Arabidopsis thaliana: one gene and its partners. The protein of the gene in region 3 interacts with the protein of the main gene of each other region in a pairwise test. Each region holds a gene or a part of one and is shown on either strand. Other genes may lie near its edges.

Region 1 (7,182 bases), on a different chromosome or scaffold from region 3:
AACAAAAGAGTTAGCGGCGTTTGATTTGGTCTTTTCATGTTATTCACTGTAAGTTTATTATATAATCATCTAGGATTTTTTTTATATTTTTAGGACTGTAATATGCGAATAAGTCAAATTTCGTTGTCCATAGTTCTCAGAAGCCGTAGACTCTTTTAAAAATATGACTTCTCTCTTTGGTCATTTTTTTTTGTTTGAGGACCATTTCTTCAAGAGTGAAAATTGAGAAAAAGTCGTTGATGTTTCTTGAACAAATTCACTAAAAATGCAACTAATGTTAACCCATAGTTTGTACTTATTCTTCAATTAATCAATGAGTCATTTATCCAAAATTTATCAACAAGAATTCTCTCCCTAGACTTGATTGCCTGAAAAGTTTCCCAAATAAATAGAAACAAATATTAACTCGATTTCCCTAGAACCGAGTAAAGGATTAGAAACAGATACAAACTTGGTTTGATCAGCTCTTTGGTCCAAATATTTTGGTGAATTTCATAACAAGAATTAGGATTAGGGCTTGTAGTGTTGAACATGAGACTAAATCAGCCCATAGCCCATTCCCATTAAAGTGTAAGTGGAAAGATGAAAAAAACAAAAGTAGTCCAATAGGGAATACCACTGAAATAATAAGAAGTTTTGTTCACATAAGCTCCAATTTTCTCACACTACCTAAACACAATGAGGCATATTGTTCATGGCCAAGAAAATTAAAAACATGGCTCCTAAACCGGAGAGGATGGTTAAGAAAGGCTACCGGAGAGTGCAGTCAAGAAGCTCTCCATAAGGATTGAGAAGTTAAATATAAAAAGTTCAGATTGAGAGAAGCAAATACAAAATGAATCTAAGTAAAGAAAATTTAGTCCCAAGCCCATCTAATGACCCAACCTAACCCACCCGTCCAAGCATCAAGAGAATTAGCTCCTTCCCCTACTTACACAAATATGGTGACACAAGGCCACAAGCCTTTTGAAAAAAGAAAAAGCAAAAAAAAAATAAAGAAGGCCACAAGCCTTGGACATGAAACCTTCACCTTATATACTAGCAGATTTTTTTCTCCAACTTCCAATATGTACAAAAACCACTTTATCCATTTTGTGTATTTCATATACCCAACTTTGGATATCCATTTCTCACTCAGAAACAAACCTCAAATTTTACGTTTGAGTATACACTACAATCTACAAACTACAAAGATAGTGCTTGTAGATTAGATGAATCCAACGTTCTCAATGTAGTTTCGAGTGACAAATTTGCCGAAAATTAGTTTTCGGAAAAATGTCCAACGTAACATCCCAAAATTTAAGTTTCAATACCAAGTTGGGTTTATTGCTAGTTTTAGAATGAGGTTCAATTGAAATATAATTGAAAACCCCTCCTCTTGAGCAGGCGTATCAGGAATCCAACATTAAAAGTGTGATGTAACCGAGAACGTAATATAAAAATGATATGGGTCAATCTATTTATTGTTAGGAGTTCCATGACAAGACTCTTACGTTCATGAAATCAATATCTTGATGCAAAACTGAACTTGAACATGGACTGAAGCGAGGCTAGATTCATTTAACAAGACTCTCACGTTCGTGAAACCAATTTACTGGTGCAAAACTGGACTTGAACATGGACTGATGCGCGGCTGGATTCATTTGACAAGACTCTTACGTCCATGAAACCAATATACTATATTGGTGCAAAACTGGACTTGAACATGGACTTCTGCGAGGCTGGATTCACCTCATTGTATAACTGATTTTGCAAGTCCATACATTTTTGTTTCTTGGATTGATGTTGATTTAATTTAACTTTTTGTTAATCTTCAATATTATGTATGACGTGTCGTTGCTTCCACGTGTTTTCTGCCATAACAATTACCTACTCACCTTGACTCTTATGAGCATCTCTTGTCGGAGAAAGTATTCAAATTTGCTTTTTGACTTCTTTAATTCTTTGAGTATATCCTTTCAAGATACTCTCTCTTTGGTTCATTATTTGTTTTTTGGCCACGTAAAGTTGTATTATAGACTTTATAGTATAGAAGTTTTAAGCTTGAACCAATCAACTTTGGTCACTCTTTAATTCATCTATTATATACCAGATCATTTTTTAACTGAGATATATTTTCAAACTTTCTTACACTCTAATATCATATGAAAGACTATAATGTACTTTCAATATAAATTACAATCAACTGAAGGTTATTGCACAAACACACACAAAAAAAGAAGCAATCAAAATCCCCCAAAAGTTTGTATTTCTTTTTTTCTTCAATTAAGCAATGAGTCATGTCTCCAAACTTTCTCATCACCAATTCTCTCCCTAGCCTTAATTGCCTGCAAAATTTCATTGAAGAAAAAATGTGTAAACAAATATTAGCTCGATTTCTCGAAAAATCGAATGATGGATTAGAAACAGAAAAAAGCGAGTTACGCGGTTACAATCACCTCTTTGCTCCAATTGGTAAATCCAATAACAAGAAATAGGATTAGAGTTTGTAATGTTGATCCTGTGACTAAACCAGCCCAAAGTCCTTTCCCATTGAAGTGAAGATGAAAACACAATAGAAGTCCAACAGGAATACCAATGACATAATAAGAGGTTATGTTCACATAAGCTCCAATTTTTTGCCACCCTGTTCCTCTCACAATCCCTAAACAAAACAAAACATATATTCGGTTCACGTTCACAAAAAAATAATAACATGGTTGCAAAACCGGAGATGCGTGTTAAGAAAGGCTAACCGGAGAGGACGGTCAAGAAGCTGTCCATGAGGATTGAGATACAAAGAATAGGAGTGATATCAGTCACATAACTAATTACTTCCTCCACATTGCTATATGCATAAGGCCACACACTGCGAGACAAGAACAGACTAGAGCTCACAATAACTGACTCAACAGCTGCAATTATGATTGCAGCCGCAGCAGAATCACGAGCCCCTCGCGGATTCCCAGCTCCTAGCTCATTAGCCACATTGGTGCTAACCAACGAAACAAAAAAAAATGAAACATTAATTCTTCGAAAATAAAATGAAGTGAAAATTCGATGTAAGAGTATTAAAGTAAGAACAAACCTTGCTGCATCACCAATTCCATTTACTAGATTGTAATGCAATGAAGAGGTCGTGAGGCTGCTCAATCCCAAAAATTAAGGCTTAGAAAATGAAAGAAAATATAAGTATCACAGATTATATAGTTTTGCGGTTCGATACATTACCAAATCGAAATAACCGATGTTTCGAGCTTTGAGTTGGGTAGAAGACCAGACAGCAAAGTAATGACCTCGAAAGCTAACCACTCAAGGCTATTGAAGGAAGCAAGAGCAATAAGAAAATAAGTGTCAATAGAATATTAGTGAAGGGAAAAAAAATCCATTACACATTTATTTATGTAACCTAAGATTTTAAATCTTTCACCTATCCACAAAACAATGACCACCACTAGACTACCATCACTTGGTTAATTCTATATGGATTTTTAATAAAGTTGTACATACTTACCAACACATCATTGCAGAAGGAATGGCAAATTGAAAGAAGATATTTGTATGAACAAAAACATCCTTGGACATATAAATCCGCGTTTCGACACAACGACTAGAGCGTTTCATATAAACCCAAAGAAAAACCGCGTTGAGCCAGTAAGAGATACCGATAGACGCAGCCGCTCCTTTGGCTCCAAAATCAAATTTATGAACCATTAGCCAACAGAGAGGAACATGGAAAGACAGAGCAGCTAGAGAGCTCAAGACCATTGGATAAATCAAGCTTTGTGACTGAAAATATCGAACCAACGACTCGAGAACAGAGTAACCGAATAAAGCTGGTACCAGCCAGAGACAGTACACACCAGCTAACTCTGCTATTTGAGGATCTTGATGAAGCAACAGCAAGATCTGGTTCATGAACATCCAAAGAATCGAAATCGGAACAGAGATAATCAAAAGGAAAACTATTGAAGTGAAAGTGTAAGATCCAAGCTTGTGATATTGTTTTGCTCCATATGCTTGACCACATAGTGTTTCCAATGAACCTGAAAGTCCAAACTATATAGTATACAACAATAATTAGAAACAAATTAATCCAATACATATATATATATAAAGGTTCATATACTTGCTTACAAGAACACCAAAGCCGGTAACATTAGCAAAGGAGCTTCCTAGAGCGATTCCGGCGAGAGCGAGTTCGCTCCGGTGACCGACGATCATTGTAGAAGTTGCTTGAAGAAGGTATTGAGACATGTTCACGGCGACCATTGGAGCAGCCATTGAAGCAACTTTCTTCATCTTCTCCCATCTTATTTTTTCTTTATCTTCGTCTTGTGATTGTTTGGTGTTCAACAATAACGGAGTTTCGATACTCTTCTTCATTTTTTTTTTCTTTCTGGTTAGAGAAAATGTTGGAAGTTGTGTCGTATTTATTTAGCTTTATGATTTTGATATAATAAAATTTGTATTTTGATAAATAATATATGCGACGTCGCGACTCGAAGAAAAGAAAATAAACACGTTTCCGCTTCCGCGTATAAAAGCGAAATCGTTTTCGACTTTTATCATCTCACTCATTTAAGTCAAAAGATAGAATTCAGCACGTGTAAGAAGAAGATGCATCCTAACTAGTAACTAATAATTGGTTCCTATTTGTAGTTTGTACTTAAAAGATTTTAGTTGTGGAGTCTTTTTTTTTTTTTATGCCAGAGAAATTAATTAGACAACATAAAGTTTGTTTTGGTTGTATAGCCTTAAAAAGAAAAGTAAAACATGAATGGTTCAGTTTTAAGGCTTTGTGAGTTGTTGAAACTTTTTAGAACCTTTTACCAATCAAATACATTTGTGGTTAAAACTTAAAAATCATGTCGGTTCTTGAAAAAGGCAAGAGTGGTATTAACAATATTTTTGATTAGCATGAGATAGAACTGGAACACAGAACAATATAATACCTTAAGAGTATCAAACAGATATGAAAACTGAATTAGAATCGGTGTTTCCTCTTCAAGCCTTTACTAGTTGCTTCGCTTTGTGTTTCTTATCGTGTTATCTCTTGTATTCGTAGTTCCTTTAGTCGTAGTCTTTCTCCCTTTTTTTTTTTTTTTTTTTTTTTTTGCTTCTATTGTTTACTCTGTATTCTGTCTCAAACTTGAAAACGGTATAAATACTTAACATCGATACCAAAAAAAAAAAAAAAACTGAATTAGAAGATTTTTAAATGTATAGAACCACATACTGATCATCAGTTATTATTTAATTAGTCATAAAATGAGATATACATTTCTAAAGAATAAGGAATAAAAGTCTCTCTTCGTATTGATTGCATTGGCTCAAATCGATAAACATCGGTCCATGATCAATATTTTTAATATCATATCATTTATTTAAGTATTGAACCTAAGATGGCTTTCAGTGGTTACCATCTTACAATAGATTTTTTTTGTCAGCGTTAAACCACTTATGAGAAAAAAAATGTATAATATATGTAGTAATAGCTAGTTTTCAAAAGAACAACAAGATAAATTGTTATTTTGTCAATAGATGATATATGAAAAAGACTACTCATGACAGCGTGATTTATGTAAATTGTGTAACATAACTATAGATTAATTTAATATTTTATAATTATTTATATTATATGATATTTTTATGAATGGTTGAATTTTTTTAAAAATGGATATTTCTTAATCTGCATATTTAACTAAAACCTCTTATATTTTGAAACATAAAGAATACTCCTAGACTAGACATGCTGAGGCCTGAGAGGACAAATGAAACTAAACACATGTTTCAATACTGACCGACAGAAAGAAAAAAATAAATAAATGAAAAGAATAATAATAAAACACATGTTTCAACTTTAAATACATATCTCGATGAACCTAACCTAATCCACATCTCCATGTTAATTCATTGACAAAAACTCCAATCCATGATAATACTCCAATAACATAAAGTTTTAGTTTTCAAAATCATTGTTAAAAAGTACTATCGACTTTATATACTCCACAACATAAATTTGAAATTAGTCAGACTAAACCGCCAAAGTTAAGATTTTGTTTGTGTTTCTAAACAAACAAATTTTGCTCTACTTGATATCAATAATAAATCCGTCTCTTAATGACATTTTTTTTTACTATTTCGTTAACAAAATAGATGTAACTTAACTACTGATTACTAGTATTATTTTTGATTCAATATATCATACATACTTTTTACGTTTTAGTATAAATGTCATTTACAGGTTCTTCACATATAGTAAAAAAACAATTAGATTTTTTTGTCTATCGCTTATTAATATATTATACAATTTTTTATAATTGGTCAATACATTAAAATTGAATATTTACCAAATATCTACACTAAAAATAATAACAATACTTATTTTGAAATAAAATTTTAACACTAAAACGACACTTATTGTGAAAAGAAAGAAATGTATAACTTATAAAGTTAAAAGTTATAACCGAGAATATATGTATTCACAATGTCATTTACAGGTTCTTCACATATAGTAAAAACATTTTTTTTGTTTATCTCTTATTAATATATTATACAACTTTTTTTTATTGGTCAATACATTAAAATAGTAAGAATAGAATTGCAATTTCACCAAATACTGTAACTACATTCAAAATATAAAACAATACCTATTTTGATACAAACTTGTAAGAATTAAACCACACTTATTGTGAAACTAAATAAAAGTATAACTTATAAAGTTAAAAGTTATAACCGAGAATATGTATTCACAATCCGTGATATCCAATTGAGAGTAGTCCAGTCAAGAACTGCATTATACACACTGAAAAAGAGGAAGCCATTTTCTTACTTATCCTCGTCGAAGTTATCAAAAATAAATAAAGAAACAGAAGTTGTTGAGAAAAGTATTAATAATCGGTTCTGACTTCTGACATCGTGTGTTGGAAGAAATAATTAATACTTACACAGAGCATTTTGATAGTTTCAACTTTCTTTTTTACTTATGTTAAACTAACTCTAATCACATGTATTATGTATACAAATTCATATTTACGTTCACTTGGTTTAAAAAAGCACTCCACATACTTCATGCATCTTGATAATCCAACTATCTCTTTGTTTTTTTCCTTTGACATGGAATAACTTTATCAATCTAATCGATGAAAGAGATCCGATTGGTGAAGTTGAGATCTATCGCAAAAGAGTTGTTTCCGCGAA
Region 2 (6,828 bases), on a different chromosome or scaffold from region 3:
GCCAATTCGGATAATTCTGTGAAGCATTGTTGTTGTTGTTGTTTCCATAGTATTGATATTGGTTTCCTGAAATTTTATGAAAGAATCTAAGCTTCTTATTTGTTGAAACATAAGAGTGTGTATATGTTTTTACCTTTCATGGGTTCAGGGTAGAAGGAGTCTTTTCTCTTCTTTTTGCGTCTAAGACACACAATAATAAGAACGATCATCAAAAGTCCAGCTCCGACTAATACACCAACTATGATCGCTGTATTCGTATTACTTCTTCCACCTCCACCTCCTCCACTGCTTCCTCCGCTAGAAGGAGGGTTGTCTGAGCGAGAGCCTCCAGTGTCTCCTGGTGGCGATGATCTGCTACCACCATTATCTCCATTACTCCTAGAAGGAGGAGAAGGAGGAGAGCCGCGTGACGGTGGAGTATCATTGCCACCATTGTTTCCTCCATTTCCTCTTTCTCCTCCACCGCCCTGTGACGGAGGGGAAGGAGAGTTATTAGAGGAATTAGGAGGGTTAGGAGCTTGTGGAGCTGGTGGAGATGTGGAATCAGGAGGTGGCGATGATGATGAGTCTCCTTGAGGAGGTGTAGGAGAAGGAGGAGACGGAGCCGGCGGAGAAGAGGTGGTTGAATTGGTATTAGACGGTGGAGATGGAGAAGAGGTGGAGTTTGTTGGAGGAGCAGATTCAGGAGAAGAAGCCATCGGAGATCAAAATTTTCCGGTAACGAAAATAAAAACTCTCCGTCTCCTCTCTCCCTTAACCACTCAATTATTCTGAGAACAACAACAACAACACGTAGAAAAAACAGATCATAATCAAAATGGTGTTAACGTTGGAACAAGTTCTTGTCTTATTATGTTCGTTAGATCGTTAACAAAACAGGTAATGCTAAATATAAGAGATTAATACAAAATTAGTTAAGAGATTAGCATGAAAGTGTGTACCTTAGAGGAAGAGATTAAGGGGAGAGAGTTTTTGAACATTTGATCAGAAAATGATAATAGGAATAAGGTGAAAAAGGAAGATTGAGATTTGCTCTGTCTTCATTCCGAGAAACATGCCTCTTCTCTCTCTTTCTGTCTTAATAACAGTTTTGTGTTAGTTACTAATTGTAATAATCTCCGGTCTAATTTTTCTCTTTTTGGCTCCGTGATATTAGGAGCTAACGATTGTTGATTCATTTCCACGTAACCTCATGCATTATTACCTTAATTTGTCAGGAAAATCTCTGGTTTATTTTGGTCCGTCAAATCAAATCATTGCTCCTCAGGTCTTCCCATATGTGATATGTCTCCTTTTTCTTCAATATTGCTCTAGAGCAACATAATTTTTCTCACAATTAAAGGACTTCAATTGGGAACAAATGTCAAGGTTTTTTATTATTTAGACCTTTGAGCATGATCAAACTAATTTCTTCACGCACAAGTTCATCGATTTCTTTACGAATCTCAGGGTTCTCACCCCTCAAATATCAACTATGACTCTACTTCAGTATTGGTAATCCTCTCCTTTCCATCAATTAAACTAAGACTTAAAAACCATGAAGTGATCAATATGTTTTGTTTAAGCACTTTCTGATCTCTGGAAACATTAATATGCATACTCTAGAGTCTAGAATTAGATGTGTAGTTAAAAATCGAACAATTCTTGGTTCACCTTTTCATTCACCTCTTTCAGCCAATTAGAATATGTCACCTAATAAATAAATAAACTCATTTAATTATAAAATCTATAATCTTAACCACTATTTCATAAACTCAAACCGATATATAATTTTGTTTAATTACAAAATTTAAACTCTAATTCTATTTTGTAAATCCAAACCGACATTTAAACTCGATTAATTGTAAAATCTAAACTTAAATCGTTCTTTCTAAAACTCAAACCGACATTTAACCTCATCTAATTGTAAAATCCAAACCCGTTTATAACTCTAAACCGACATTTAACCTCGTTTGATTCTAAAATCTAAAATCGTTTATAAACCTAAACTGGTATTTAACTTCGTTTAATCATAAAATTTAAACTTTAACCCTCTCTTATAAATCCAAACCGATATATGATTTTGTTTTGGTGAACTATTAGATTTTATAATTAAATAATTGTTATTGTTTTTTATTAGGTTGTAGATTCTCATTAGCTACAGTAAAAAGGGATGAATATAAAAATCATACTTTGTCCTTTACAAAAAATCACACCTTATAATAGATATGCCAAATCATGTTGGATTTAAAAATTATTCTACATAGCCATGATAATCTAACCTAATTATTGACTCTCTAAGGGCATCTCCATCCATGAGAAACCCACAAAGTTTCTCAAACAAAAAAAAATTAATATTATATTATAATTTGAATTTTTGATTAAAAAAATATTTTTGTTAAAAAGTTGAACCAATAGTGAGAAGCGAATTGTCATGATGGGTTGTAGAGAGTATCTCAAAGTTTCTGAGAATCTTTCTACACTCTCTCTCCTTCATTTTTATTATTTTTATTTTTTTAATTGTGAGAAACTCTTATGAGAAACCCCCAATAGAGATGGTTTTAGTTTGAATCTCAAGTCCGTCACGATCACCACGAGGACCCCCACCACCAAAAAGCTTCTCCATCTCCTCCAATGGCAATCCTTTCGTCTCCGGCAACATAAAGAAGAAGAACCACCATGCCGCCACCGCTATTCCGGCGAATACGAAGAACACGCCCCCTGTCGTGATCGCCTTCGTCATCGACAGAAAACTCATTGAGACCGTCGCGTTCATGATCCTATTAACCGCAACACCTATACTCGCTCCCTGAGCCCTAAGTCTCAACGGGAATATCTCGGAGCTGTACACCCATGTGATAGGTCCAAGCCCTATGGAGAAAAAAGCTACAAATGCATACGTAGAGACGATGCTTAAACTCAATGCCCACGCTAACCGCCCAAATCGCTGAACCATCGTGAGACTAACCGCTAAACTGGTCAATGCGAAGACCATCCCACCCGTACTGGTCAACAGGAGCTTTCTACGACCTACCTTGTCGAGCAAGAAAGTGGCTATTATTATGAAAAAGGCCTTAGTTAAACCTACACCGACCGTGGCTAGTAAGAGCTTGTCTTTCGAAACAACTCCGGCTTTCTTGAAAATTCTCGGGCTGTACAACACGACGGCCTCAATCCCCGTCGCATGCTCGAAAAAGTGTATCCCAACGGCCGCTATCAAGATCAAACGCACCGCAGGTCGCGGTTTTATCACCAACTCCCTCCAAACACTTTTACCGTGATTCTTCTTCTTAACGCCGCCACCAACTTCTTTTATCTCTGTCACATCTACTTCCGCAGCGGTTAAGATGTCTCTGAACCGTTCTTCAGCTTCTTCTTCCGTATTGGATACCAAAACCATTATTTTCTTGGCTTCTTCTAACCTACCTTGCATCACAAGCCACCTCGGCGACTCGGGCATTCTTGTAATCCCAAAAGCCAATATCAAAGACGGGAACGCTGCGATTCCAAGCATCAATCTCCATCCAAGTTTCAACGTCAGTTTCCCAAAACAGTAATTCGAGACATAGCCTAGTAAAATCCCAAGACTAATACAAAGCTCAGGTAGAGAAGTGAGAAAGCCTCTATGTGACGCAGAGGATATCTCGGCAGAGTAAACCGGAGCTATCATGAGAGCAAACCCTACACCAACTCCGGCAATACATCGTCCGACCATCAAAACAGGATAGTTTGGGCCGTAACCCATAAGAACTGAGCCCACTAAGAATATCACGGCGGAGAGAGCTATGGTGTAACGTCGGCCGATGACGTCAGACGTTTTCCCCGCCGTTAGTGATCCGACGAGTGCACAAAGATTCAAGATTCCGGCCAAAACTTCAATCTGAGTGTCGTTTATTTTTAGATCATCTCTTATAAATATCTGAGCTCCGCTCATAACTCCCGTATCTAAGGACAACACACCATTACAAAAAAAAAAATATTCGTTAATATAAAATCATTAATATAATTCCATTGAATATATCTTTATATGATATATGTAGAAAACTTTTGTTTGATATGTAGAGAATGTTAGTATGTTACCATATCCAAAGATGATAGAAATGATGGAAGCAACAATGGCACACCCGAAAGCGAACTTGTTCATATGAGGGTTTGGATCCGAACCGGGAAAATTATGACCATCAGCATGAACCATGTTGAGTCTTTTTCTTCTCTTTTTTTTTTTTTGGGTTAAATTTTAGAATAACTTGTTATATCGATTGTGTGCATTTACTAGTATATATATACACATAACTATATATGTCCACCACTTGCATCCATAGTGGAACAATGACGATCAAAAACTTCTACTGTTGTTCCACAGTGTTTGTGGGTGCCCACGTATTCTGGTACGAGAATTATATTTCTGCAAGATATGAATTTTCCTCAAGATTTAGACGTATACAACCTGAGAAGTATATCGAGCAAAATAAATTGAAAAGATTTCCAACAAAAAAAAAAAGTAGTGTAATCAGGCAAGTGTTTTAAGTTTTAACCAATACATACGTAAGTTAAAATAATAATTAAAAGGTTACAATGAGTTTAAAAAATGGTTTCGCACACGGTCTTCAAATAATTTGTGACGACCTTCGTTGAACTTGAACTTGGTCTTCTTGTTTTCAATTTTTATTATTTTTTAATAAAGGAAGTGAAGATTTTTATTAGATGCTATGTTACATGTAAACCCGATTATTGTAGTTTTGCAATTGCATGTTACGTATAAAGTTGTTCTCGTGAGTGGAATGCATGAAAAATTGTATGTCGTAAACTATTTATGAAACTCTAAAGCAAAAAGTTTCCGTTGTGAAGTCATATGTATGAGAATTCAGAATTGATCATTCATTATAGTAACATATGCTAGAAGAAGTTATATCCACCATTTTTAAATGGTAGGTCATCAATTTTAATACGATATGACCAAAAATATTGCTAATATTGTAAGTTAAAAGTCGCCATCTTCTTCACTTTCGGCATTTTCCTGATCTATGTTCAATAGTGGCGTAACCTTTAAAGATTCTTTTCCACATTTATATAATTTGGTGAACTAAATTTATACGGTGCATTTATTTTCAGTTGGTTTCTTTTTCTTATTGAAGTGATGAAGTCCAAAATTAAACTTGTTTTGACGAAACAAAAAAACTTGTATCCAACAAAAAGCCGTTGTTCTCAACAGACGAATAATACTATCAGACTATATGTATCATTACATAATGAAATTGATATCTGTTGGGAAAAAACTGATGTGTGATTTGATCAATAAATCAGAACATCATAAGTCATAACGTAACCTATAGCTCTGTTTGTATGTGCAAGATAAACAAAAATGTTTTTGGGTTCCAACTAATGTTCATTTTAGCATGATCGATGGAAAATTCTGAAATTGCCAATTCTATCATTTATATTTTTGTCATATGCTTTGTCAGTTTGGCTGGCCTAGAGTTTTACGTCCAATTAGTCTGTTGAGAACTGTATTTTTGTTTTTCTTACTCGTACGTTGTTGGAATTCTGAAACAAGATGTTATTACGCCTCCAGTATTAAATCAATATTTTACCCCGCTAATTATAACATTATATATCTTGGTGGACTACGTCCAATTTATGTTTAGTCTTTTTTACATTCGCTACTAATAAATTGGTATCATAACTTCGAATTTTCAACATGCTTTTGTAATCTGGTAAGCATACATTTGTAAAATTGTAATGAACATAAGAAGCAATATTGGTGTATTAGAGAGACAATAACTTATTTCAAACTTCTAGTTTTTCTAAATAATTCTTAGTGTATACGTTTTATAGATCTCTAAATCTGTTAGAAGTAAAGGTTTACACATTTAATGGATATACGATATATATATTATTAAAAAAGAAGAAGTAAATCTGGATAATCATCTAGCTAGTATCTATATATATAGTTGGCAAAAACGCTAACCTTTGGGATTTGTATACGTAAATTATGCAAATGCACAAAATCCATGTAAATAGTAAAGTTTTGATATGATTCCTTGAAAGTTATATTTTGGTGAGCTGAAAAAGAAAGATACGTGACGAAAAAGTAGTATTTGATTTGTTTTCTTGAAGAGCATATACCATAATGAGTAACTTACTCAAACAAGTAAATGGCATGCGTTTTTTTCTTTTCACTTTTAATTGAAAAGGCATATATTGTCGCTATCAAAAATCAAAACCAAACGAAATTTATACTATGAGGTTAAATGAATTTGTTGGGTAAGAAAATGATATACCTTCAACGCACGGATTACCTATCTTTAATCCAAAAAGCTTTGGTTTAAAGGCAGATAATCGATAGACTAGCTACGTCAGATCAGAATTTAAGTCCTCGAACCAACATTCTTCATGCTGAGTTTTTTTTAGTACGAACCTTAACATGCATTGTAGTCCAAAGCTGATTGGCATACACATCGTGTGACAAAATAACCAAGACAGATCAATCATTTAGGTCAACGATAGAAGGAGAAATCTTCTGGAAGAAGAGAAAGAGAAATTCAAAGTGAAATTGTGTGTATTAGTTGGGATACATTTGGCCGACACAACCAGAAAGATAAGTTTGGGGACTTTCCGATACAAGTGATAACTTGGGTAGGTTAGATCATCATATGGGTAGGTCTTATTACTTTATTCAAAAGTTTCACCAAAAAAACACGTAGTTCTTTTTTTTTTCCATCTAAAACTTTATTAGTTCTTTATTTGAACAATGTCAACACATTAGGATTTTTTCAAAATTCATAAATAATAAATAATGAAAGTAGCCCTTATTTTGTCAAAATTATCGTAATTTCTAATTGAATTTTT
Region 3 (8,582 bases):
AGGGTGTTGCAAGTTGCCAAAAACTTCGCTGTTTGGTGAGAATCAAAGTCTTATCCTTCTTCCTATCTTTCCTCTTATGATTTCTTTTTTGGAAAACACTATTTTATACATAAAGATCTTTTTTTCTTTAAGCGAATGTCAAAGCTCATGAGAAGTCGGAAAAAAATTTCGTGATAAAAATGTCAACAAAAAAGTGAAATAATTGATTAGACCTATATAGCTATGGATTAATGGGCTCACTCTATCTTCTACACAACTTGCCTTAGATTTTGCTTTGAATGGTTTATAAGAGGTTGACATTTTCGTGGTCCCGTGTTCTATATAATTTATTTAATCAAGGATTAAGCTCTAGTTTTCTTCATTTACTCTAGTGCATTTCAGAAATTGATAGCCGATAATTATAATGCAATAATAATGATCCTAAATCCAAGATATTTTGTTAGTTTAGACAGGTTGTACCAAAAAAAAAAAAAAATGAAGAAAATAGGTTCTTTCATGGCCGTTGTTAAACAAAATACATGTTGTCTTTTTGTAAACCTCAAAAGTCAAAATTTTGGTAGTTAATCCAATGTAGAATCCAATATTAAGGTTTGTAATTAGGATAAAGGAAAGTTTTAAAAAGAAGCACTGATCACGCTTAGAGTTGAACCCTTTTACAGAGGGAACTCATTACTTTGAGTAAAGTGGGGTTTCTAGAAAGACATCAAATCTTTGTATTGCCAATAGAATCACATCTTCTTATTGGCAGAATATTTCTTATAAACAAATCCATAAATAATGTAAAAATAAAGCTTCCAACAATGTGACGATCTTGAAAATATTGGGCTTTTCTTTGGACCCCATCCTTACGAATATAGTTACCAAAAAGAGAGAGAATACAAGCAAGTGTCGTCTCCCACTTAAACACAGTTCATTTAGATTCGAGATTTATATCATCCACTTCAAAATATATAAAAATGTAATTATGTATGTTATCCTAACTAAATTACTCACATAATTATTGCCTATTGGTAGTGTTCACTAAAAGAATAATTGGACTGATTATACTAATTGAGATCACATATTCGATCCTACCTTAGACATTCATCTTTATGAAATCAATAAGATAAACTAAATCATACTTGATAAGAAATAAAAGTAGAAAAATGAAGACATCTTTAATAAACTGAAACTTTTTGTGCATGGTTCTTTGTTTACGAAAGTTCAATAGTACTATTGATATATAGAATATATAAATGCAAATAATAAAAGAATGTATAAATATCCTCAAGGAATTTGAAACAAGTGATTGTGAACAAAAAAATGAAAAAGAAAAGGTGATCTTGTTGGATATATATGAAGTTGCGGATAATGTCACGTATGTGTGTCCCGTGAGAAAGATGGGGACCCATCGTTTTCAATTGTACGCCATCTCGTATTTATGAGAGACCTATGTCTATCTAACGTTTCCATTTATTAATGTTATCTATCACATGTATATTTCATACGTGATCTTGCCTTATAGGTTTGACAAAGATTTGATCTTTCAATCTCAAAAACTTGTAACCTAATAGTTTGTACTGTATTTAAAAATATTGTGTGTTGTGAATTGTACACAACGGTAAAACAAAAATATCATCAGTTTCTCTATTCTCTCAACAGATTGACTTGCATATGACCGATTTCATTTTGGTCGTTCGTTAAACCAAAATACATATTCTTTTTTTTCCTAAAGTTGTATTTAATATTTTCTCATTAATATTTCAAACCCCCTCATGTAGAAAAAAAATTAGAGAGTTTAATTACATTTTGGTTCATGATGCTTTAGAAAACTAAACTAAATAAATACTTTTCACACTTCAATTAGCTCTTTCATGACTTGTCCATCTTTCACACCAAAAGATCCATTCGCTTCAGCATCAGAACTCGCATGAACGCCATAAAACAAATACACGAGCACGATCAAACCGGAGAAGAATCCAAACCGGACGTAAGAGGGTGCGTCCAACGAACCAAGCAAAAAAATGTTCAAGAATATCGACACGCACGGGGTCCACGGCATGAACGGGACTCCCCACAACTCAGGTTTCCTAGCCTGGGGAACCACGCACTGAAAGCTCAGCACGATGGCTATAGCCACCACCGCACTGGCACCGAGCATGAAAGCTTTAGGCTTACCTTCCGGCACAAGTTTCCAGATGAGGGTGAAGACGAGAGAGGTTATGGAGAATAGTGTGAGGAAGCAGAGTGTGGGCCACGGCTTGGTGGGTCCAACCGGGACGTAACGTCTGAAGATGAGAGCGTTTGCGACCATGTAGAAGACAAATAGTGTTCCAATGGATACGAGGTTTAGGAGGACGTTTAGGTCGGTGAAAAGCGCAAGAGCCGCCGTGAAAATGCCTGATAAGGGATAAAATATACGAACGTTAATAAGATTGGTCAATGGTCATATTCTCTATAACTGTAGATGATTCGACTAGTGAAAAAAGTCCAAATTTGAAATGAATGGTAGTGGGAGGATTTGTTCCTTTATTTTGTCTTTTTGTCAATGCTATTGATGGATATAGCAAATGTGAGTTAGTGGGTGCTAAAATTAGCAAGGATAAGGTTGAACGATGATGACCCCCTTTATAATGATCCATTTTGTGACAAAGGCATGAGAGTAACTTAATGAGGAAAACAATGCTTGTTACAAAGATTATGCATATAAATATGGCTCTAAACGTTAGTATATGTTTTCCAATCTTCTATGTATTTTATCAAAGATGGTCATTATTCTAAATCCTGGTACCTAACAACTCACGAGTTGCATAGCTCAGCCAGATGTTCCGGAAATTACGAAAAGTTGGAGTTGTCAAAATATCAGCCGACTAGGCTTAGTAGTATCTTCACAAAAAAAATGAAATAAAAAAATGATTGATTAACTACTAGTCGTCCAATGGATGACTAATAATCCAACTATCGTATTTTTATTTAAAAAAAAGTGGAATATGTATTTTTAACACTAAGGAGACACAAAAAGAACCAAAGAGACCCACCAAATCCATCACAATCAAGACCGTTGAAAAGATTGAATCTTTGAACAATCAAAAAACACGAAACTTTTCACAGAGCAGAAAAGAAAACCAGTGGTGAACAACGACATCTAGCAATCGGACTCAGATGCTCTCTCTGTGACTCTTGTCTTAAACACCATACAATGATACAAATCACATTGAACCATGTCCCTACATTGAGATATACTTACACAACGTACATAGCCCTTGTCACGATCGAAATCGATAGCAGAAGATTTTTAAAATGGTAACGTCCAAAAGCTTTTGATCTTTAAAATATATTGAAATGGACACGTATATATAATGAAATCACGTGGATCGTATGATTTAGAGAAAACGTTAAAAGTTCAAATCAATAAAAAGATCATGGAAACAACCGAAACGGTTCTCATTGGGGTCCCCTTTTAACCTAACTACTACTCCTCTATCTCACTTTCTGGACCAAAATTTATTTTTAACTATATATGATTTGATTATATTTCATCATTGTTTGTTTGACAGTAATTAAATAAATGTTTTTTTGATGAATGAATGAAGACAAAGAAACGTACCAAGAAAAGTGGAGGCGTTGACTGGCGTAGATGTTTTGGGATGAATCTTAGCGAACCAAAAGGGGACCACTCTGGACCGTCCGATGACACACATGTAGCGAGCCTGACCTAACATTGCCACCAAAAGTGATGTTAATATCCCAAAGCTTGCTCCTATCCCCACCACTTTCGTCACCCATTCCCAGCCGTTCGATCCTCTGAACGCCGCGGAAAACGGCGCCTCCGGATCTATCTGCGTTACAACAACACATGCCCCGCCGTTTTCAGCTTTAGACTCAGACTACGTGCCGTCTTTATGAAAACGGAAATATACAATAAGAAAATAATAAATTTGAAGTACGGACCAGATCGTATGGCAGAAGCATTGACATAGAGACTGCCATGAGACAGTAAAGAACGGTGACGATTGCGACGGAGCCGGAAACACCGACGGGGATATCTTTGACCGGATTTTCAACTTCTTCCGCCATGGTTGAAACGGCGTCGTATCCTATGTAGCTTAAGTAAACCATGGCAGCTCCGTTGAAAACTCCCGCCGCGCCGAACGGAAAAAATCCCGAGGGGTGCTCTGGATTCGCCGGTGAGGATAGATTCTTTGAATCTCCTTTTATGAATCCCATCACGATCACGAAGAATATGAATGCGATGTGAAATGCAGTCATTATCATGTTCACTTTGGAACTCTCTCTTGTACTGCAACAGATGATGACTGTGATTACGAGGACGACGAGAACTGCGACTGGATCAATCTCGTTGAATCCTTTCGGTAAACCGGAGACGACGAATCGCCACTTGGAAGTTGAGATCCCGAAAGCTGTTCCTAAATAAGCGGTGAAGCTTCTCGAAACGGCCGCGTTTGACATTACGTAATCCATTACAAGATTTGCTCCGGTGAAAAATGCTGGAAATTCACCTGAACGGAAATGTAACAGAAAAGAAATCAGTTACGGTTTTTGATTTTGAAATTAAAATTTTCAGAAAACCGTGAACAGATCGGAGGAGTAGTGATGATTTTCGCGGGAGACTAACCGAATGTGATACGGATGTAGCTGAAGGCACCGCCGGCGACCGGGAGATGGACGGCGAATTCGGTGTAACAGAAAGCGGAGAGGAGAGCGCAGAGCCCGGCGATGGCGTAAGAGACGACAATTGAAGGACCGGCGTCGAGACGACTAGCACGGCCGGTGGTGACAAAGACACCGGCGCCGACCATTCCCCCGATTCCGAGTCCAATGAGATCGTACCACCGGAGAGTACGGCGCATCTGTTCGCCGGAGACGGCGCGGACGCGACTCATCTCGTCGGAAGAGGTGGAGACGGAAATAGCGCGGCGGGATAAGCGAGAAGGCGTCGCGGAAAGAGAGTTGAGGTAGACGCGGAGACTGGAGAAAGAAGAGTGACCACCATTGTTGCTGCTGCTTTGGACCTCCATTTTCTCACCGGCCAGATTCGGGTCGGGTCGGTTTGTGTGAGAATTTTGTTGAATTTGACAAGAGTTGGTTTTATATTAGAGATTAGGAAAAGTGAAAAAGAGAAGGATAGGGACAAAGATGTAATTATGACGATACTTAAGGGCATTTAAATGTTATAAGTATTGTTATTAACAACAAGATTGTTCCCTAATTCTTATATTCACATTAATCACATAAGCATCATCAGCTCAAAAGCTTACTAAACCCAAGATGCTTTATCTCTTTGGTCCAATTACAGTTACATTTATATATACTAATTATGCTAACGCTTTTATTGATTCATATACAAATCATAAACTAGTTTGGTAGTATATAGTATGTATTCACATCTAGCTAAGCTTGTAAACTATTTTTGTTGACCATAAACCACTAAAATTGGTATTTTATTAAATATCATTAGACTGCTGAGTTGTAACAGAGTGGCATTTCCTATGGTTATCTTATTTTGTTTTGTTTTTTAAAAAATAGGAAAAAAATGAATTACGGTTTTTATTGAAGAATATTCTTTTTTTTTTACTACTTATCATTAATTGTTAATAACACTCTTTATTGTTTAAATTTATAGATTTGTACTCAATTATTTATATTTAAAAAAAATATCTCAACACTATAACACCATATAAACATTCTAATAAGATATGTTTTTAAACAACATTATTAGTATATTTCAAAATGGTCAAAATATTTCGAACCTGAGAAATGAACTTTTTAATCATAAATATGTCATTGGAGAATCATTCCCACATTTTTCCTTGAAATGAGGGTCTAAAATTGATGTTATTATAGACAAAATTTTGTAATTGCGTTCCTTGTAATTGATAGGGAATTAGTACTAATTAATGAAATTAATACCATAATTGTGTCTATGACTATGATCGGTTGTTTGAAACGTAACGACTCTCTGCTTCAAAAGCTCTTCCTTACTTAGTTCCCGAGGTTATGAAACCGTCACGGACGTTAAAAAGAAAAAACTAAACAAACGGCGTTAACTTCCGTATATCATAAGACACGGTAACGACGTTACCTCTAACGGCTATGTGTGGTTTAAGATTCACACGTGTGGCAAAGAAGGTGACACGTGGGATGTTGTTTTGTTTTCAATGGATAAGCACACAGGTTTAAAGCGAAGCGTGACCAGAATTTGAGGAAATGAGTTTTTGTAATTAGTTGGTTCTTTTCGACAATCTTCTCATTTTTTATAGTTGGCAACTTGGCATTACTAGGAAAATATTATCGCATATTTGCAGCTAATTAAGGTCTTCTTCAACTGATTTTGTCTCTGCATTTAAATGTTTTAAAACGAGGACACGAATAGTTTGGTACTTAGAGGAATAAATAACCGCAAATCTTGTGTTGGTACAGTTTGTAACTTAGTAATTTGTTTTAGTGTTAGTGCCGTGTTATTTGATAGTATGTGTGAGTGGTAATATGCATGAGTGAGTTCTTGAAAAAAAAGATGAGTGATCTGTTCTCTGTGATAAGGGCAACGCAACATGTTTGCAGGTTGTATCATGATCCTGATGAGTATTCTCCATAGAGAAATCGGCATTAGACTCGACGCTTTAAGATGAAGAAGAAGCAATGGATTGACTGATTTTATTTTCATGGGTCGAACTCGGAGCCTTTGATGCTGTTCACTGAAATCCAAAATCCAAAATCACCAACACCACCAACTAACCGCATGTGTATATGTAATCCAAAATCAACACTATTTTTACCACACCAAAACTCACTATAAGGTTAATTCGAATAGAACTCATCTAACCATCTATGAAACTTGATTAAAAAGTGTTGTAGAATGATTTGTGTATGTTTATGTAAAAGTTCTATCGCTCCCAATCATACCCGTAACTGGATACACGTTGCAATTGATCTTTTTATTTTTTGGTTGGCCGCGCACTGCATTGAATTAACACTACCTTATCCAAACAAATAGTATTAAATATCTACTTCAATCGAACACTCTTAAGCCTCTCTTTGTTCACAATAATGATAATTAGATTAGTGTCAGCAACGTTGACACATATTCGTATCTACAACACACATACGCATACATTTATATATAAATTAATTTCGACAAGAATAAATTATGACTTGTATGGTCACCAATAAGTCTCACATTTTTGGGTACACAAAAGAGTAATAATGAAATAAATAAAAAAGATAATGTGGAGTGGTTTATACAGTGAGTGGGATGGTCAAATCTGAATTTTAGATAAGATGCAAAATTCAGGTTGCCTCAATCCGACCACGTCTCACACGCCCTGTGCCAGACCTGCCCATCTCTGTTTTCCCTATAGTATTTTTTTCTAATTGAAAAATACAAAAATTCCATTCTCCATATATTTGAAGTTATATAAAATCCGTGGCAAAATATGTGATTTGACTTTTGAGTGCCAATCCGATATGTGAGCCGTTTTGTAAACACAATTTTTGGTTTCAGTAAAAGCAAGATATTAGGATCTGATTTCATATATAAATTTTTGAAGATACCTTATTATATCACCCAAAAAAAAAGCTGTGTATTCAAGAAAGTGTAGTATTTTAAAAATAAATATGTAAAATGTTCATGAGTGAGACTCCCTACTAGTTTAAGATTGTCAAATTCACCTAGTTAAAGTTGGATCACTTATTTATCCATAAATAGATAACTTAAGAGATTGTCAAATTCTATTTAAAGAGTCTATCTAAAAGGCCCATTCTCTTTTTTACATAAACCAAAACCGCTCATTAACTATTTTGATCAGTCCAGTCCAATAGTTTGTGTTTTCCTTGTTTTTGGGCTACTAGCCCATACACATTTCCAAAAAAAAAAAAAAAACTTTTTTTTCCCCCTATTTTACTACATTTTTGTTAATTTAATGTTTGATTCAAAATTTACCTCACCAATTTATCCCCTCTTCTAATTTCCTTTCTATGTATTTTTTTCAATTCAGAAATTTCATACCTTCTTTTTATCATCCAATAATCGCCCCATATTTTTCATACTCACAGTTATTTTTTTTGATTTTTCTGTATTTATTTTCCCATATTTTTGAAGATAATATCAAAACTTGAAACATATGGTAGCAGATAAAAAGCTTAAAATAGCAAGAGCTTAGTAGATTTTATTTGGAAATTGGAAAGCCAGGTGACGATTAAACAAGAGGCCACGTCATGTAGATGCACCAGTCCGATGCCAAAAAGTATCCTCGCAAAACAATTGGCAGAAGACACGTGGCTCAATACTGGTGAAGAGTCGGTCTTGGCGTCTTGGTCGACTTCGTAACGTATCCACTTCATATTTGCAATCCAATTAATTTAGTAAAAAGTGTGTAAACCATTTTTAAAAACAAGTAAAGTAAACTACGTGTGAAGAAAGAAACAAGTACGGCTAAAAAAATACTAAAAAAATTAGTTGAAGTTGCTTTGTTTTCTTTTGTTGAAGGTCGTTGAGAACATAGTTTAATAAATACAATGAAACTCTTCCGATAAGATAAGACAAATTTCGGTGTTATCTTTCTCTACAGGAGTATTTAATAAAA

What was found. Proteins that work in one complex are often made in the same cells at the same time.
Region 1: the proteins of CAT6 (region 3) and AT1G66760 interact in a protein complementation assay, tested with the Arabidopsis thaliana proteins (one large-scale study listed by BioGRID).
Region 2: the proteins of CAT6 (region 3) and AT2G18480 interact in a protein complementation assay, tested with the Arabidopsis thaliana proteins (one large-scale study listed by BioGRID).

Annotation. Positions count from the first base shown.
Region 1 is NC_003070.9:24,899,293-24,906,474, reverse strand, and holds AT1G66760 (MATE efflux family protein), read right to left. Parts: upstream 4,594-7,182; 5' UTR 4,366-4,593; coding exon 4,117-4,365; exon of another isoform or gene 4,039-4,116; coding exon 3,494-4,038; intron 3,298-3,493; coding exon 3,211-3,297; intron 3,125-3,210; coding exon 3,068-3,124; intron 2,975-3,067; coding exon 2,736-2,974; coding exon of another isoform or gene 2,731-2,735; exon of another isoform or gene 2,645-2,730; coding exon 2,439-2,644; coding exon of another isoform or gene 2,421-2,438; exon of another isoform or gene 2,328-2,420; coding exon 2,262-2,327; 3' UTR 2,032-2,261; downstream 1-2,031. Other genes in the region: SWEET6 (Nodulin MtN3 family protein), read left to right, coding at 1-24.
Region 2 is NC_003071.7:8,007,070-8,013,897, forward strand, and holds AT2G18480 (Major facilitator superfamily protein), read right to left. Parts: upstream 4,209-6,828; 5' UTR 4,175-4,208; coding exon 4,060-4,174; intron 3,925-4,059; coding exon 2,513-3,924; 3' UTR 2,032-2,512; downstream 1-2,031. Other genes in the region: PERK4 (roline-rich extensin-like receptor kinase 4), read right to left, coding at 1-66, 134-698. UniProt on the Arabidopsis thaliana protein: Plasma membrane sugar-proton symporter.
Region 3 is NC_003076.8:1,375,554-1,384,135, reverse strand, and holds CAT6 (cationic amino acid transporter 6), read right to left. Parts: upstream 5,516-8,582; 5' UTR 5,019-5,515; coding exon 4,616-5,018; exon of another isoform or gene 4,500-4,615; coding exon 3,931-4,499; intron 3,819-3,930; coding exon 3,587-3,818; intron 2,866-3,586; coding exon of another isoform or gene 2,834-2,865; exon of another isoform or gene 2,380-2,833; coding exon 1,832-2,379; 3' UTR 1,658-1,831; downstream 1-1,657. UniProt on the Arabidopsis thaliana protein: Permease involved in the transport of the cationic neutral or acidic amino acids.